Linked DNA regions of Pelodiscus sinensis. The protein of the gene in region 1 interacts with the protein of each later gene in a pairwise test. Links are inferred from orthologs where the notes say so. Each region holds a gene or a part of one and is shown in the gene's direction. Other genes may lie near its edges.

Evidence for each region.
Region 2: the proteins of RRAS2 (region 1) and RIN1 interact in binary tests that used the Homo sapiens proteins (3 or more experiments, as listed by UniProt). The link is inferred for Pelodiscus sinensis from reciprocal best matches to the Homo sapiens genes RRAS2 and RIN1.

What each region holds. Positions count from the first base shown.
Region 1 is NC_134714.1:108,922,254-108,929,271, reverse strand, and holds the start of RRAS2 (ras-related protein R-Ras2), read left to right. Parts: upstream 1-3,937; 5' UTR 3,938-4,171; coding exon 4,172-4,276; intron 4,277-7,018. UniProt on the Homo sapiens protein: GTP-binding protein with GTPase activity, involved in the regulation of MAPK signaling pathway and thereby controlling multiple cellular processes. Regulates craniofacial development.
Region 2 is NC_134721.1:32,368,278-32,376,208, forward strand, and holds the start of RIN1 (ras and Rab interactor 1), read left to right. Parts: upstream 1-4,869; 5' UTR 4,870-5,200; coding exon 5,201-5,226; intron 5,227-5,364; coding exon 5,365-5,566; intron 5,567-6,182; coding exon 6,183-6,297; intron 6,298-6,463; coding exon 6,464-6,536; intron 6,537-7,640; coding exon 7,641-7,732; intron 7,733-7,931. Other genes in the region: BRMS1 (breast cancer metastasis-suppressor 1), read left to right, coding at 1-49, 714-753, 956-1,088, 1,876-1,993. UniProt on the Homo sapiens protein: Ras effector protein, which may serve as an inhibitory modulator of neuronal plasticity in aversive memory formation. Can affect Ras signaling at different levels. First, by competing with RAF1 protein for binding to activated Ras.

The sequences.
Region 1 (7,018 bases):
TGGAGTGTTGATTTCATTCGGTTACTTCCATGTGTGAAGTTACCGATCAGAATAATAAACTGTAAACCCTCCAGAGCTTCTATGGCACAACACACCCTCATTTGTTACTGGGGGGGGGGGGGGAGGGGGGCTTTGTGTCTGACTGTAAACATTATTTAAAACAAGCTATCTGGCATTTTCCATATTTGTTTATATATTAATTTTTGGTATCTTATGTTTGGCAAAATACTGCTTTGTTTCTGAAGTTTGATTTGACTGCCAGAACAGACAGATCATAAGTACAGGTTGAACCTCCCTTGTCCGGTATCCTTGGGAACTGACCCCTCCCAAATGAGGGAATTTGTCAGATATGGGGAGGTCCCCTGCCATTGGCCTCCCAGGATGCTCCCCCCTCCCTGCAGTTGGCTTCACTCCAGCCCCACTGCCACTGGGCTCCAGCCTGCAGGGATTAGACTTGGGCTCAGGTCTGCTGTGGCTCCCCAGGATGGAACTCCCCAGCTGCCACTGCCCCCAGGGACGGGGCTTGCTGGCTTCTGCTGCTCACTGGTCCCGCTGCTGCTCTGCCTGGCCAGGGACCCCTGGGGGGCGGATGCTACGTCTACACTGCAGGCTTCTTGTGCAATGAAGAGAACTTCCACAAAAAGTTCTTGCACAAAAGCGCATCCACAATGCAAAAGCGCATCGGAAGAGCAATGCGCTTTTGTGCAAGAGAGCGTCCAGGATGCTGTCTCGCAAGAAAGCTCTGATTGCCAGTCACAGAATGGCCACCAGGACACCTGTGCTTCCTTTGATAGGCTGTTTTTGTGCAAAAAACCCCCATTTCCTGTCCACATACACCTTTTTGCACAATAACTCTTCTGCAAAAAGGAGTTATTCCTCGTAGAAAGAGTAATACCTATACCGCAAAAACCCCTCTGTTCTGTCGATTCACTGTACATTTTCTTGCGCAAAATTGCGCTTGAGTTGTGGATGTGCCACAAGTTTTTGTGCAAAAACTCTGCAGTGTAGACATAACTGGAGCGCCCCGGCCTCCATGGCCCTGCTTCTCCCTTGCCTGCCCGGGGCTCCCCTGGTATGGGGTTCACACTTCCGTACACCAGAGCTCTCTGATCCAGCAACATCTGGACCACGGATGTTGCCGGACCAGAGAATCCCGGATTTTGGCGGTTCAACTTCTACCGGGATGTGTTTCAGTCTCTGCTTGGAGTTTCTTTTTTTGAAAATTTAAAAAAATATGGAGTACAACTTACTTTAAATGTTATCACCTTTTAACTCTGATGATCAGTCTTGAAAAAAATCAAGACTCTTTTTGTGGAATGATGATAAGGTTTCACTAGTATAACAGCAAGAAAAACAAATGAAAGGATGGAAAGTTAAATAGGAAAGCTAAAAAAGTAAGGGAAATATAGAGATGTTTGCTTTCTGAATAACTTTAAACTAATGAGGTAAATTATGCAGCATGACACTTACTTTGGCATTAGCTGTGAGTGGGCTTGGGGGAGTATTGCCATTTGCCCCCTCTTTCCCTAGAACTTTGGCCAAGGAGCTTAGCAGAGCTCTATGGGCTGTGTTGGGTGAAATCCTGCCCCTACAGAGGATAGGGTGTTAGTGTTGTGCTTTTTCACATTCCCCCAGTTGTAAGCTTCTGAATAAAATCAGCATGCATGTGCTAAATGTTCTGAAAATTGCCTTTGTAGTGGCGATTTTTGTAGTGGACAACTCCCAGGGCAAAACTCTCTGATTTTGAGGGAACTAAAATTTCATCCATTCCCCATATGAAAATAAATGTTTTAGTATGATTATCACAGATCTCCTAAAATTCAAGCACGGTTTCAAAACATTGGAATGAATACCTGAAGAATACTTCAGCTGAACAGTCATTGCTGTGTGTTCTTTTCTCAGTGATTCATGCTCCAGAGTCCAGACATTTGAAATACATTGTTTTACTATGTTCTCTATAGTTCTAGGTCAATGATTATGAGAGGGACATGGCACACATAATGAAATTACTAGCAATGTTCCATCAGCTGGATGAAGAAACACCTAAATGTAGAACTCTGATCTGACTGTTCTTTTAGGGGTATCTTTCAGATAGTAGACATATTTTGACTGGTCACAATACGCAACTCTGGTATTACAAATGTTGGGATGTTTCTATATTTAATAGCTCTTTATTGTGGCTTTTATGCTGCTGGGGAATAGCCTTATCTATATAGTGACACATTTCAGACAATGCTTGATCTGTCACGTGATATAATCTTTTTAGTATGAAAAAGAAAATGTAAACAATGTTTTCTTTTTCAGTGAAAAGGACTCATGCTAGAGTTCAAATGAAGTAATTTGAGAAAGGTGAGCCACTGGTGAGATCCTGTCCCATTTTAGAGAGCTCCTAGCAATTCCTATAGTGTTTCCATTGTAAGACACTGTTTTCAGTTATTGCTAAGTTTGTCAAACTTGGATATAGGGATGTTAGTGTTGTGCTTTTTGGCATTCTCCTGGTTTTAAGCTTCTGAATAAAATCAACAAGCATGTTGTACTAAATTTTCTGAAAATTGCCTTTATACTGGGGATGCTGCAGTAGATGATTCAAGGGGCTTAATAGAACGTTTTTCTGCAATTGCTCCTCCTAGCAGCCAAACAGCCTGGGGCTTTATGCTGCTAGAAACTGAGAGCAGGGAAACTCCTGTGTTGCTACTGCTCCAACTGCAGTGCTCTGGGAGTATGTCAAAGGTAAATGACTGGAATGCCAAGAGGTGATAGAAGTGGGCAGAGGCAAGCTGTGGCAATGGGATGGGGGGAGAGGACATGGTGCAGAGAGAGCGGGAGGGGGGGGGCATACAAGGGCAAAGGGAGAGTAGAATCAGGCTGGCAGGGTACAAGATAGGTCTGGCAGCAGAGGGGATCTGTGGAGGGATAGTGAAAGAAGAGTCTGAAATGATTACTAAACACAGGAATAGAATCTAGGATTTGTCCAGCGGGTAACAGCCTACTACTGTTAGCCATCACTCCATTAGCCTCAGTGATAGGGTTTTGCTATTAATGCAAAGGCTCCATGTCTACTGATGCCCCCATTTTGAACATACAGTCTGGTAAAAGTGCTAAGTATTCTAGAAATTGGATTTTAGGTGCCTCCATTTGGATTCATGAAATTAGTGGACAGCAAATCAGCAATGATAACTGTGGCTTCACTCTCTTTGTTCCTCTATTCCCCGTCTGTAGTACAGACATAAGGAGCGGCGCTGCGCATAAGAAGGTCTGGTGAAGATGAATGAATTCAAGACAGTGAGGCGTTCCGCTGGCAGGTGCGGAGTACTACCGAAAGGCCCAGGCGGGAATGCATCCGCTGTTAAGCACCGGCTGAATGCCGTCCGGTACACATGGCACCCGCGGCCACCCAGGCCAGGTGTATAAAACTAACCCCCGCGCACCCAGCATGCTGGCTAGTGAAAGCAGCAGGCTCCACAGCCGCGGGGCTGCGCTCCATGCCCCAGGCTGGGAGGGGTTTCCATTTACACGGGGACTATTGCGCGGCCGCTGCATAGCGGGGGCCCGGGCCCGTGGCAGGAGCCGCGCGGGGAGAGCCCACGCAAGCGGGCAGCATAAAGGGGAGGCGCGAGGGCTGCTCTCGGGGGCACACGCGGTCCGTTTCCACGCTGTGGCTGCGGGGAGCCCGGCTGGCTTGTGGCGCATCAGAGCCAGCCCGCCGCGGGGGGGCCGGCCGGCCTTTGCTTGCTGGGAGGGGACGGTTCTGGCCTCCCGGCCCGCACCCCAGGGCAGACACCGCCCCCAGCTCGCCCGCCACCTGGAGCGGCTCCCTGGCCGCCGGCACCGCCCTTGCATCGTCCTGCCCCGGCTCCCCCCTTCGGCAGCCCCTCATGAATATTCCTCGTCATTAGCATAATGAGAAGGCGGCCCCGCCCCGCTGACGGCCATTTGTAGCCGCGCTGGGGCCGCCGCGCTCACTTGGCCCGGAGCCGCCGCGGAGAGGAGCCGGCAGGGCGCGGGATCTGCTCCCCCGCCCCGCGGAGCTTCAGGCGCTGCCGCTGGCGCGGCCCCCGCCCCGAGGAGCAGCAGCAGCGGGGCCTGCGGCTCCCAGCCCGGCCCGGCCGGAGGCGGCGGCGCAGGGAGGCTCCCGGACCCGGCCCGGCGGCGCTGCCGGCGCGTCTCCCCGATGGCCGCGGGCTGCAGGGACGGGCCGGGGCAGGAGAAGTACCGGCTGGTGGTGGTGGGCGGCGGCGGCGTGGGCAAGTCCGCGCTCACCATCCAGTTCATCCAGGTGAGCGGCGCCCGCCCGCCCGCCTGTCTGTCTGCCTGTCTGCCTCCGGGAGCCGCGCCGAGGGGAGGCCGCGCTGCCGTCCCCGGTTCCCCGGGCGCTGCCTGGCTTCGCCTCAGAGGCTCCGTCTAGCTGCCCGGGCGCTGGCGTGGGGCGGTGGCTCTACTGGGAGTGGGGCTCTGCTCCCCGGGCACTGGTGACGGCTTTTCCTGGTGTGGGGGGCAGGTCTCTCCCCTAGCGCTGGTCCCTGGGTGCTGGTGAGTGGGAGTGAGATGGCCTGTTTTCTGGGCGGTGGGGTGGCTTTCTCTGGGAGAGTTGTGCCTGCCCCGTTCCCGTGCTCTGAGGGCGAGGGGCTGGACACTCCCCTCTTAGCAGAGTTCAAGGGTGGGAATGCTGGTGAGGCAGTTTAAGCTTGTGCTTTGAAGTGTGCAGTGTTGTAAGAACCAGGTGTTAGACCAATGACTTTCAGTGTGACCTTTAGCAAGTACCTTGTCTGCTTCTTGCCTTAGTTGACCTTAGTGACACAATGTGAAAGCTGCTTTTCCAAGGTCCTTTGAAGATGCATTGCCAAGTTTAGATCTAGGTGAGAAGCAAACCTTGTAGAAAGCTTTGGGAGTGAGGGCTACCCCATGTGTGTCACTCTAGTTCTGTGGTCACCAACAGGTCGATCGTGAGCTATTGGTCGATCGCGAGGCCTCAACCAGTTGCTCGCGAGGCGTCCTGTCTGTCCTGCCCCCATTTCCCACCCACCCCTGAGAAGCCCCGCTACTTACCTAAAGGAGGGCTGGGTCAGCCCAGCGGGAGGCTTGCAGGGGGTTTCCCGACATGCACGTGCGTGGGAGGGGGGGGGTTGGCCGCCCGGGGCAGGTGTGCGCGCGGGGCTTCCCTGCGCCGGGGGATGGTTGGCCCCCTGGGCAGGCGCACGTGCGTGGGGTTTCCCTATGCGGGAGGAGGAATGGTCGACCCCGGGGCAGGCGCGTTCGTTCAGGGCTTCCCTGCGCTGTGTGGGGTCGGCCCTGGGGCAGGCAAGGGCTGGTTTCCCTGGAGGGAGGGGAGAATCCTGGGAGGAGGGAGATGCAGGGGACTTGCCGCCTCCACTGGCACCCCACTCCCCAGCCACAGAACTCTGTCCCCACTCCCCTGGCCCCAGCTACAGAACTCTGTTCCTATTCCCGTCCCCACTCCCCGAGCTCTGTCCCCATTCCTGTCCCCACTGGCACCCTGTCCCCAGCTGCAGAACCCTGTCCCCACTGGCACCCTGTCCCCTGCTGTAGAACCCTGTCCTCTGCCCTCCCAGCACCCTGTTCCCTCTCCCCTGCCCCTAGCTGCAGATCTGTCCCCACAAAATGTATAATTATAAATGCTTCATTTTAGATTTAAATAGCATGATTAAAAAATGGACCATTTATTTCATAACTCTAAACACCTGATTTTAATTTTATGAATCGCATAATTTAAAAATAAACTGTTTATCAGAGTGTGTAAGTAAGGGCTGGGGATAGCAAGTGATGGACAGGAGGAGAATAGAGAGGGCGGGGCTTCAAGGAAGGGGCTGGGCTTCAAGGAAGGGACGTGGCGGTAGATCTTTGTCTGTTCTGAGATTTAGAAAGTGATCTTGGGTGTAAAAAGATTGGAGACCACTGCCCTAGTTGATGTTTTCATAGAGCTTCATTTGAAAGCTTGGTTTCTTTTCCAAGACCACTGGTTGGACATGTGTCCTATTCTGTTGTATCTAGAATATTGCATTCTAGATAGGATAGAATACTACACATGTCCAGCTGGTTTTTGGGGGGCAGAGGTGTCCCCATTCATGTTTGCCTAGAACCAGAGGGGGGTTCTCCCTTTCCTAACAATTGCAATATTTTAAAATGCTTTCTCATTAGAATTTGCTTCTTGTAGCATTGTCAACATTTCATTGGCCATCTCATCTAATGGTTTTCCCCAGCTAAAAAGGTTACAACAGTGAATTAATGCTTTACTGAGGGGTGGGGAGGAGATATTGAAGGATGTCAGTTGTATGTCAGAAGCTGCTACCTGGTAGGCCATAATCACGAAATATAACTGGTTGTGGAAAATGAAGAAACCTGTTTAAAACTTGTTAACAGGAAATTTATATACTTGGAAATGAGCAACAAGAAAATAAGAAGGCTGGTTTTATGAGGACAATGAAAGCTTAAAGAAAAAGTGTGTGTGTGTGTGGGGGGGGTGGCTGGGGGATATGCATAGCAAAGTAAAGGAGAATGTTGGTATTCTGGTCTCTATCCAGCCAAATGTTTGTATTAAAGTAATTAGCGATTTAGCTAATGGTGTTGACATAATAAATTATTCAGCTCAAATAGGGGTGGTTTCTGCCCTTCAGTTGTTGCTTCTTATCGTCTATATTTAAAAACACTAAGCATAATATCAGGATCAAATTAGGAAGACGTTTTCTGTACCAACAAAAGTTAGAAGCCTTTTAAAAGAGGATTCTGTAAAAACTGATCAACTTGATGGAGAAATACTGGCATGCAGTACTGTTTTCTAGCCCAAGCCCAATTGAGGTTATGTCTTCACGAGAAATGCTGCACCTGGGCTGCAGTAGCCTTTTGCTGTAGACATTCACTGTGGTGATGGGGAGAATTCTCCCATGCCTAAAGTTAATAGTCCATCTCTCAGAGGTGATAAACAGATGCTTCAGTCAGTCTAAAGCTGTCTACACCAGAGCATAGGTCACCATTTCTCAAAAGCATCCACCAGGGGTTTTCC
Region 2 (7,931 bases), on another chromosome or scaffold:
CATGCTGCGGGACATCGACATCCTGGAAGACTGGACAGCCATCAAAAAGGTGAGGCTGACCCGCAGGACACCTGGATCCCTTAATCACCCTCATTCCATCGCACGCCACTGGCCACCATACAATGCCTAGTCCCCTCCCTTCACTCTCCCCATGTCCTCCAGCTGCCATGCAGGACACCTGGTTCCTCTAATCCCCACCCCTCATCCACCACTGGCCCCACACACAATGCTTGGGTCCCTTAAACCGCCCACACAGACCCTGAGTTGTTCTTCAGTACACCCGGGGTATCCCATAATAATCCCCTTTCTAGCACTGCTGTTCGGGATCAAACACCTGGAAATGGGATTATTTTCTCATCTATTCTTTATATACCCTTTTAAAAAGTCACCATGTGCATAGCTGGAAGTCAGGACTCCTGGGCTCTGGGAGCGGATCATGAGGTCTGGTGGGTTAGTGTGATAGGGAAGGTGGGGAAACAAGACTCATGGGTGGAGAATGAGGGCTGGAAATCAGGACTCCCCGGTTCTGTTCACTGCTGCTGAGTGAGTACCTTACCTTATGCCTCAGTTTCCCCATCTGTATGTCAGGCTAATGCTGCCATCCTTCCTGAGGGAACAGCATGGGTGGGATCCAGATAGCTCAGTGAGCAGCGGTATGGGGTGGAGTGTGCTCCCTGCATAAGTTTCTCTAATCATCTTGACTCTCCCTACAGGCTAAAGCAGCCGTGTCCCCCCAGAAAAGAAAAGCAGATGGTAAGAGCTGGGCAAGGGATGAGATATGGGGCCTTTTTCTCTAGGGGCACAGGTTCCAGTCTGGCCTCTGGTGTCCCCTCGTGTCTCAGCCAGGACATGAGCCAACTTGGCCCTGCAGCTGCCATCTGCTGCCAGCAGGGCCTATCCCCATATGTAGGGGCTGCACCAGCCCCCCTACCATTGACCACCGCTCTCCCCTCAGTGCTGGTGAAGGTGGAGAAGCCGGGAGCCCAGTTCTCAGCGCGCTGCGAGGACGGGCGACTGCATTACGAGGGTGAGATCTACAGCAAAGGGCAGAGTGTTGTCCTGGAGGTCGGGGACGAGGCGCCTGCGCAGTGAGTGGCCAGGAACTGGCTGGCTGGAGGGTATGGGGCACGGGGCCTTTCCCTTCTAAGCGGCACCAGCAAAGCCATCCCATCCATAGGACGGCATGGAGCGGCCATCCCAGCCCCAGGCCATGGGGGCCTCAGAGTGATCCAGGGAATTGCCTGGAGGCCTGGCTCAGGGCAGCAGGGGGTCATCCTCCCACTCACTGTGATGGTGGAAGCCAGAGTGACCTGGCAGCCTGCTCTGCTCTATCCTGCTGCCCTCTGCCAACCCGCTGAGCTCTGGGCATGTGATAGCCAGAAGCAGAGCGCCCCAGCCACAGCGGGCTGGAGCAGAGGGGGCTGCTGGGTGAGCTGTGTTACACCGCTGCTGTGGTGAGCGGTGTGTTACGCCTGCTGCCGCCTCGTCCTAAGCTCCCAGCTAATTCCCTGGATCACTGTGGGACTCAAACCCTCAATACCAGGGCAAGAGGAGGTAGAAGAGTGTGGGGTGAGGGCAGAGCTGGGGTGATGCTTGGAAGGGTTAAAGCTGTGGCAGGGCCTGGGATGGGGAGATTTGCTCTGGGTTTCACCTCTGGGGTATAGGGAGAGATGGTACTGCCCCAGGCCCCATTCCCCCTGGGAATGGCCCTGGGCACCAGCTCTGATCCAGCCCCAAGGCTGGCTGGCTCGGGGTAGGGAATGGGATACAGAGCCTTTTCCCGAGACGGGGTCTGGGGGACCCTGAATCCAGCCCCAAGGTGGAGAGGACTGACTGTCCTTGGGGGGGCTGGCATGACCCCTCTCTCCCCTGCAGGGCAGTGATCACGGCTGTCAGCACTGGGGAGGTCTGGCTGCGCCGGGAGGATGGCACCAAGACCAAAATCTACGTCTCGCAGCTGCAGAAGGGCAAGTACTCGGTGCGCAAGGCCTGAGTGGGGCTCAGCCCTGCGGCTTGGCACAGGCCTCCTCCTGGACACAAGGGCCCACAGCTCGTCTGCGGTGCAGCGAGGGGCTGGGCGGAGGCTCGGCTTGCTGCCCCCTTGCACTAGGACCCAGATGGAGAGGACTCTGGGGCCCTGCCCGGTGGAGTGTTCACATGGCCAGCGCTCCCGTCACAGATCCCTGCAGACAGACCAGCACGAGGCTTCACCGCTCGCTTCCCTCGCTAGGACTCTGGTGTTTGTAGCAATCTGGGGGGCACGTAACTCCCTGTGTCCGGGGCTGTTGTGCCCCACAGGGAAATAGGGATGCTGGTTCCAGGGGCTTCTGCAGGAAAAGCCCTGGGTCTTGACCAGCTCCCTGGAAGTGTTCACATTAAAAACTAAGCGAAACATGCACAATCTTGGCTCTTTGATTCATTTCAATGTATTCTGGGGAATAGGGATGAGCTGGCCTGGGGGGTGAGTGGGGTGTCTTCTGTATCCCTTTGAGGCACAGAATGTTCCCAGCACCATCCCCTCAGCTACGTGCGCTATCCCTTGTCTGAGCCCTCTAGACCTGCTGGCCACAGTTCCTTCAGGGCGTGGATCGCTTTGGTGTCAGGACCCTCCCTGACTCCAGCCTGTGCTGATTCTGGGACACACAAGTGGCAGCACCTTTGGGACCCTCCCAGTCTGCACTGTTGTCTTTTCTCCAGCCTCCCTTCCCTTTGGAAAAGAGAGCCACCTCCGCTCTGTCCCTGGCCAGATCCTACTGCTGGGAGCTGCTCACATGGGTGACAGTCTGGGGGGCCTTGTGTCTGAGCCACACCTGTTCTCATCTAGGCCTCCCCCAGCACCCTAGTGCAGCTGCCTGCACCCTGCCAGTGCTCAGCAGAGCAAGAGGGAGCACAAATGGGGGACCCCTCTGCATGAGCTGTACCCCAACTTCACAGGCCCTGGAGGGGCTACAAGGGCATTGGGGTGAGTGGGGCTGGGTCACAGGGGGGATCTGGCACAGAAGTGGGAATCCTGCCCTGATCTTGGTTCTTCCCCATGTTGGACTCTCAAATCCTACTGGTCCCTCCCCACAATGGGGCTTTCGCCTGATGCCCCATGAATTGTCTAGAAAACTGATCTCCTGAATCCCAGCCTCACACTACCCTTCCCATGGCTCAACCCCCTTCTCTGCTGGCCCAGCTGTTTGGGGTCTGGGAGCCAGAACTCCTGGGTTCTAGCCTCAGTTTTAAGAGCTCTATGGGGTCAAGTGGGACAGGAGCACTGGGATCCAGAACTCCTGGGCTATGTCTACGCTGGCGGGTTCATATGCAAGAACACGTCTTTTTGCGCAAGAGTGTCCATGGCAGTGTGGACACTCTTGTGCAAGAAAGCTCTGATGACCATTTTAGCTATAGGGGTTTCTTGCACAAGAAACCCCTGCTGGATGTCCACACTGCCCTCTTGCGCAAGAGGGCTTACACTTATTAGAAAAGAGTGTAGCTCTTGCGCAAGAAGCCCTCTCTTCCCACGCTTTACTGTAAATCTTCTTAAGCAAGAGCAGGCGAGCCCTGTGGACGCTCTGCAGAAGAATGGCTGTTATTGTGCAAGAACCCACCAGAGTAGACAGCCTTGGAGTCTCTCCTCAGTTTTGGAAGGACTGTGGAGTTCGCTGGGTTGGGGGAGTGCTGGGAGCCAGAACCCCAAGGTTCGGTTTTGCAGCTGGCTGTCTAACAGTGACAGAGCCCTCTCCCTGGTTTGTGCCTCGGTTTCCCTTCCTGTATTGGGAGCCATTGTGGTCTCCCTGGAGAGGGGAAAAGGCATCTGCAGGGCTCCAGGGTGGAGGATGGGGACAGATACAAAACCCAAGACAAAGTAAGACCTGGGGAATGATGCCCAGGGCCCCTGATGTCCAGGGTGGCCAGGCAGCTGCCAGGGTTTGGCTTGTGGCCTGGACATGCTCAAAGCCCAGCACATGTGAGTCTGACATGGGAGTGAAGGGAATAATAGATTAATAATGATGCTGAAGGTAGCAAAGAGGTTATGAGAAGGGGGCCCTGCCAGGGCCTGCAATGGGGGCCATTTGGATGGGAACTGGGAGAATGGAAGAGGACACTGGGGGCTCTGCCCGGGATGATCTGAGATGCCAGCTCCATTCATATCAAAACTTCACTCCTGGTAAGATGGGAGCACAGCCCAGCAGTCAGGATGGGGGGAGGAGGGGAGAATCTGGCTTGGTTCTGATGGATTTTCCACCTGTGGCTAACTTTCTTTGTCCCCTGGCTCCTCCTTCTACTGTCCTGGCTGCTACCGACTGTCCATACAGCCTACAGCCCTCGCATTGACCTTTCTCTCCCAGCTGGAAGAGTAGAGTCTAGTGCTTAAAGCAAAGTGCTGGGAGCTAGGACGCCTGGGAGCAGAGTGGTGTCTAGTGGTTAGAGTTGGGGGTGGATTAGGAGTCAGGACTTCTGCTTTCTGTGTTTAGCTGGGGGGTTGGAATCCAGTGGGTTCGAGCAGATGGGCTGAGAACCAGCACTCCTGGGCTCTGTGTCAGCTCTGGCTTGGGCAGTATGCTTTTCCGGGCCTCAGTTTCCCCCTGTACAAAAGGAGTGAGCTGGTAGGCTGGTGAGTTGTGCCTGCCCCGCTTGCCCTGGGGCTGGCTGGCTGATTAGATCTGCGCCCCCGCACGGGCTGTGCCAGCCTAGAGAGCTTTGCCTTGGGAACGTGACTGCGGGGGGGGGGGGGGCGTCTATCCCTGCCTGGGGCTGGCTCCGCCCGGTCCGGGCCTGTGCCATGGCTGGGTGTGACGGTGAGTCACAGCCGACGCGCATTCCACTGCTCCGGGCCAGGTTTGGCTCCCACGGAGCCGGGGCACTGGCTGTGGAGCCGATACCGGGACGCAGCTCTGTGTGCAGGGCTCCCTCGCCCCTGCCTCCCGCTATAGACCGCGCCGCGCCCCACCCCAGAGGCGGCTGCATCTCAGCGCCCCGCCAGGGCTCCGTGTCGCGTGGAGAAGCAAGTTCCCAGCAGGAGCCACGTGGGTCTGAGTCTTGCCCTTCCTGCTCCTCCTGCCGCCTCCCTCCCGGGGCGTTTCGGGGCTGGCGCAGGCTGGGCTGGGCTGCCCCGGGCCCGGAGAGCTGGTACCAGGGGAAGGGGGCGGCCCGCTGCGCCTCCTCTCCCTGGCAGAGGGAGCCTCGCACCTCCGCAGCCTGGTCACCCGGCCAGATGGAGCCCCCGGACCAGCCGCACGGGTATGGCCGAGGGGCCTGGGCCGGGAGGGGCGGGAGCCAGGACGCCTGGGTTCTGCCCCAGCTCTGGGAGGGCGGGGGCGGGGGTGGGGAGCCGCGACTCCTGGGTTCCTAACTCTGGGCTCCCTGCGCTCCTCACAGCCCTGCCTCCCCGCTCCGCCTGGCGCGTGACCCCGTGTACGATGTCCCGGCGCCGCACGTCTGCCCCCAGCCCAGGCCCGCACGGGGGGCTCCGACCAGCGTCAGCCTCCGGGATCGTCTGCTCCTCACCCAGCCCGTCTGGCTGCAGCTGAGCCTCAACTCCGCCACTGCCCTGCACATCCTGCAGCGGGAGCCGCCCGGGGTGAGGGGAGGGGGCTCTGCCCTGCTGGGCTGAATGCTGAGGGCAGTGGGTTCATGGGTCTGATGGGCGGCACGCTGGGGAGTCCAGGGGTCTGATTTGGAGGGGGCACACTGGCTGAGCCCATAGGTCTGATTTGGAGGGGGGCACACTGGGTGAGTCTATGGGTCTGATTTGGAGGGGGCACACTGGGTGAGTCTATGGGTCTGATTTGGAGGGGGGCACACTGGGTGAGTCTATGGGTCTGATTTGGAGGGGGCACACTGGGTGAGTCTATGGGTCTGATTTGGAGGGGGCACACTGGGTGAGTCTATGGGTCTGATTTGGAGGGGGCACACTGGGTGAGTCTATGGGTCTGATTTGGAGGGGGGCACACTGGCTGAGCCCATAGGTCTGATTTGGGGGGGCACACTGGGTGAGTCTATGGGTCTGATTTGGAGGGGGCACACTGGGTGAGTCTATGGGTATGATGTGGGGGGCTCCCACACTGGATGAGCCCATGAGGCTGACGGGAGATCCCACATTAGGTAGATCACTGGGGCTGAACAGGGCCCCGGTGGATATGGAGTCCACAACTCCTGCATAGCCCCTGCTGTGAGGTGCTCCCTTCTCACCCCAGACGTTCCTGGTGCGCCGATCAAACACACGCCAACGCCGGGCCCTCTGCTTGCGCCTCCTAGATGACCTGGCACCGGCCTTTGTCGCCAGCTACAGCCTGCAGGAAGGACCAGCCGGTAGGGATGTGCGCCTTAGGGTTAGCTGTGTGCCTGGTGCCCTATGGAGCCCCCCACTCCCTGCAGCATGGTGCCCCTGGCACAGCACTGGGCCAGTAAGCAAGTACTGACTTCCGGGGAGAGCGCCTCTCAGCACTGCAGGCTCTGAGGGTCCATGTCTTTGCAGGAGTCTCCCTGGAGGGCTCATCCCGGAGCTTCCCAGACCTGCTGCATCTGGTAGCCTCCTACTGCCAGAGACGGTGAGTGGGATCAAGGGGAACACTCTGGCTACATCTACACTGGCCCCTCTTCCGGAAGGGGCATGTAAATTTCATGAGTCGTCGTAGGGAAATCCGCGGGGGATTTAAATATCCCCCGCGGCATTTAAATAAAAATGTCCGCCGCTTTTTTCCGGCTTTTAAAAAAGCCGGAAAAGAGCGTCTAGACTGGCCCCGATCCTCCGGAAAAAGTGCCCTTTTCCGGAGGGTCTTATTCCTACTTCAAAGTAAGAATAAGAGCCTCCGGAAAAGGGCACTTTTTCCGGAGGATCGGGGCCAGTCTAGATGCTCTTTTCCGGCTTTTTTAAAAGCCGGAAAAAAGCGGCGGACATTTTTATTTAAATGCTGCGGGGGATATTTAAATCCCCCGCGGATTTCCCTACGACGACTAGTGAAATTTACATGCCCCTTCCGGAAAAGGGGCCAGTGTAGACGTAGCCTCTAAGATCTGAGCTCCAGCCTTCCCCTGCTCCCAGGGGACTAAGATCCTGTAGTGCAGTGCTCACCAACCAGTAGATCAGGATCTACCGGTAGATCTTGGTGCCTCTGCCAGGTGATCCTGACTGGTTTGGCGGGGAGGCTGTCACGTGCCGGTACTTCAACTGTTCCTCCCCACACTGCCTTGCTGCTCCTGCCCAGAGCCTCAAAGCTGCCCCCTGGGAACCTCCTGCTTGTTGTGCAGAGTGGAGGAGACAGAGGCAGAGGGCGCTGATGTCAATCTGTCCTGCTCCCCTGTACCCCATCTTGACAGAGTAAGGAGGGTGGGACCTCAGGAAAGAAGTGGGGCAGGGCCTCGGAGAAGGGGCAGGGCGGGGGTATTTGGGTTTGAGGTAGATCCCAGACTCACTTAGATTCAAAAAGTGATCTTGTGCTTAAAAAGGTTGGCAATCCCTGGTGTAGTGTCTGGGGCAGTGGGACTGGGGGAGGGTTATGGAGCAGAGGGAGTTGGGGCAGCTCTGAGGCAGAAGGGGATTGGGGAAGAGTCCTCAGGGAAGGGGGGATGGGTAGAAGGGGATTGGGAGGATGCCGCTGGGAGAGGAGGGAGCCCTGGAGTTGCTACTGGAGTCTGATACACTGTCCCCCTAGGGAGGTTCTCCCTGTGGCCCTGCGCCTGCCCCAGCCCATCCAGCAGGCGGTGTCACACAAGGAACTGGAGTCCATTTCCCACCTGGGGCTTGGTGAGTTGATCCCCCCCCCACACACACATCTCTCTTCCCCCATCCCCTGCCCCACATCTTGCTGCCCCTGCACTCCTCTCCCTGATCCTTCTCCCTTCAGGCCCCCTGGTCCCTCCCTCCCCACCCTCTGTCCATGCCTCATTTCCACTTCATCACCTCCATCCCCACAGCCATTCCACTTTCCCCATCACCCTGCACT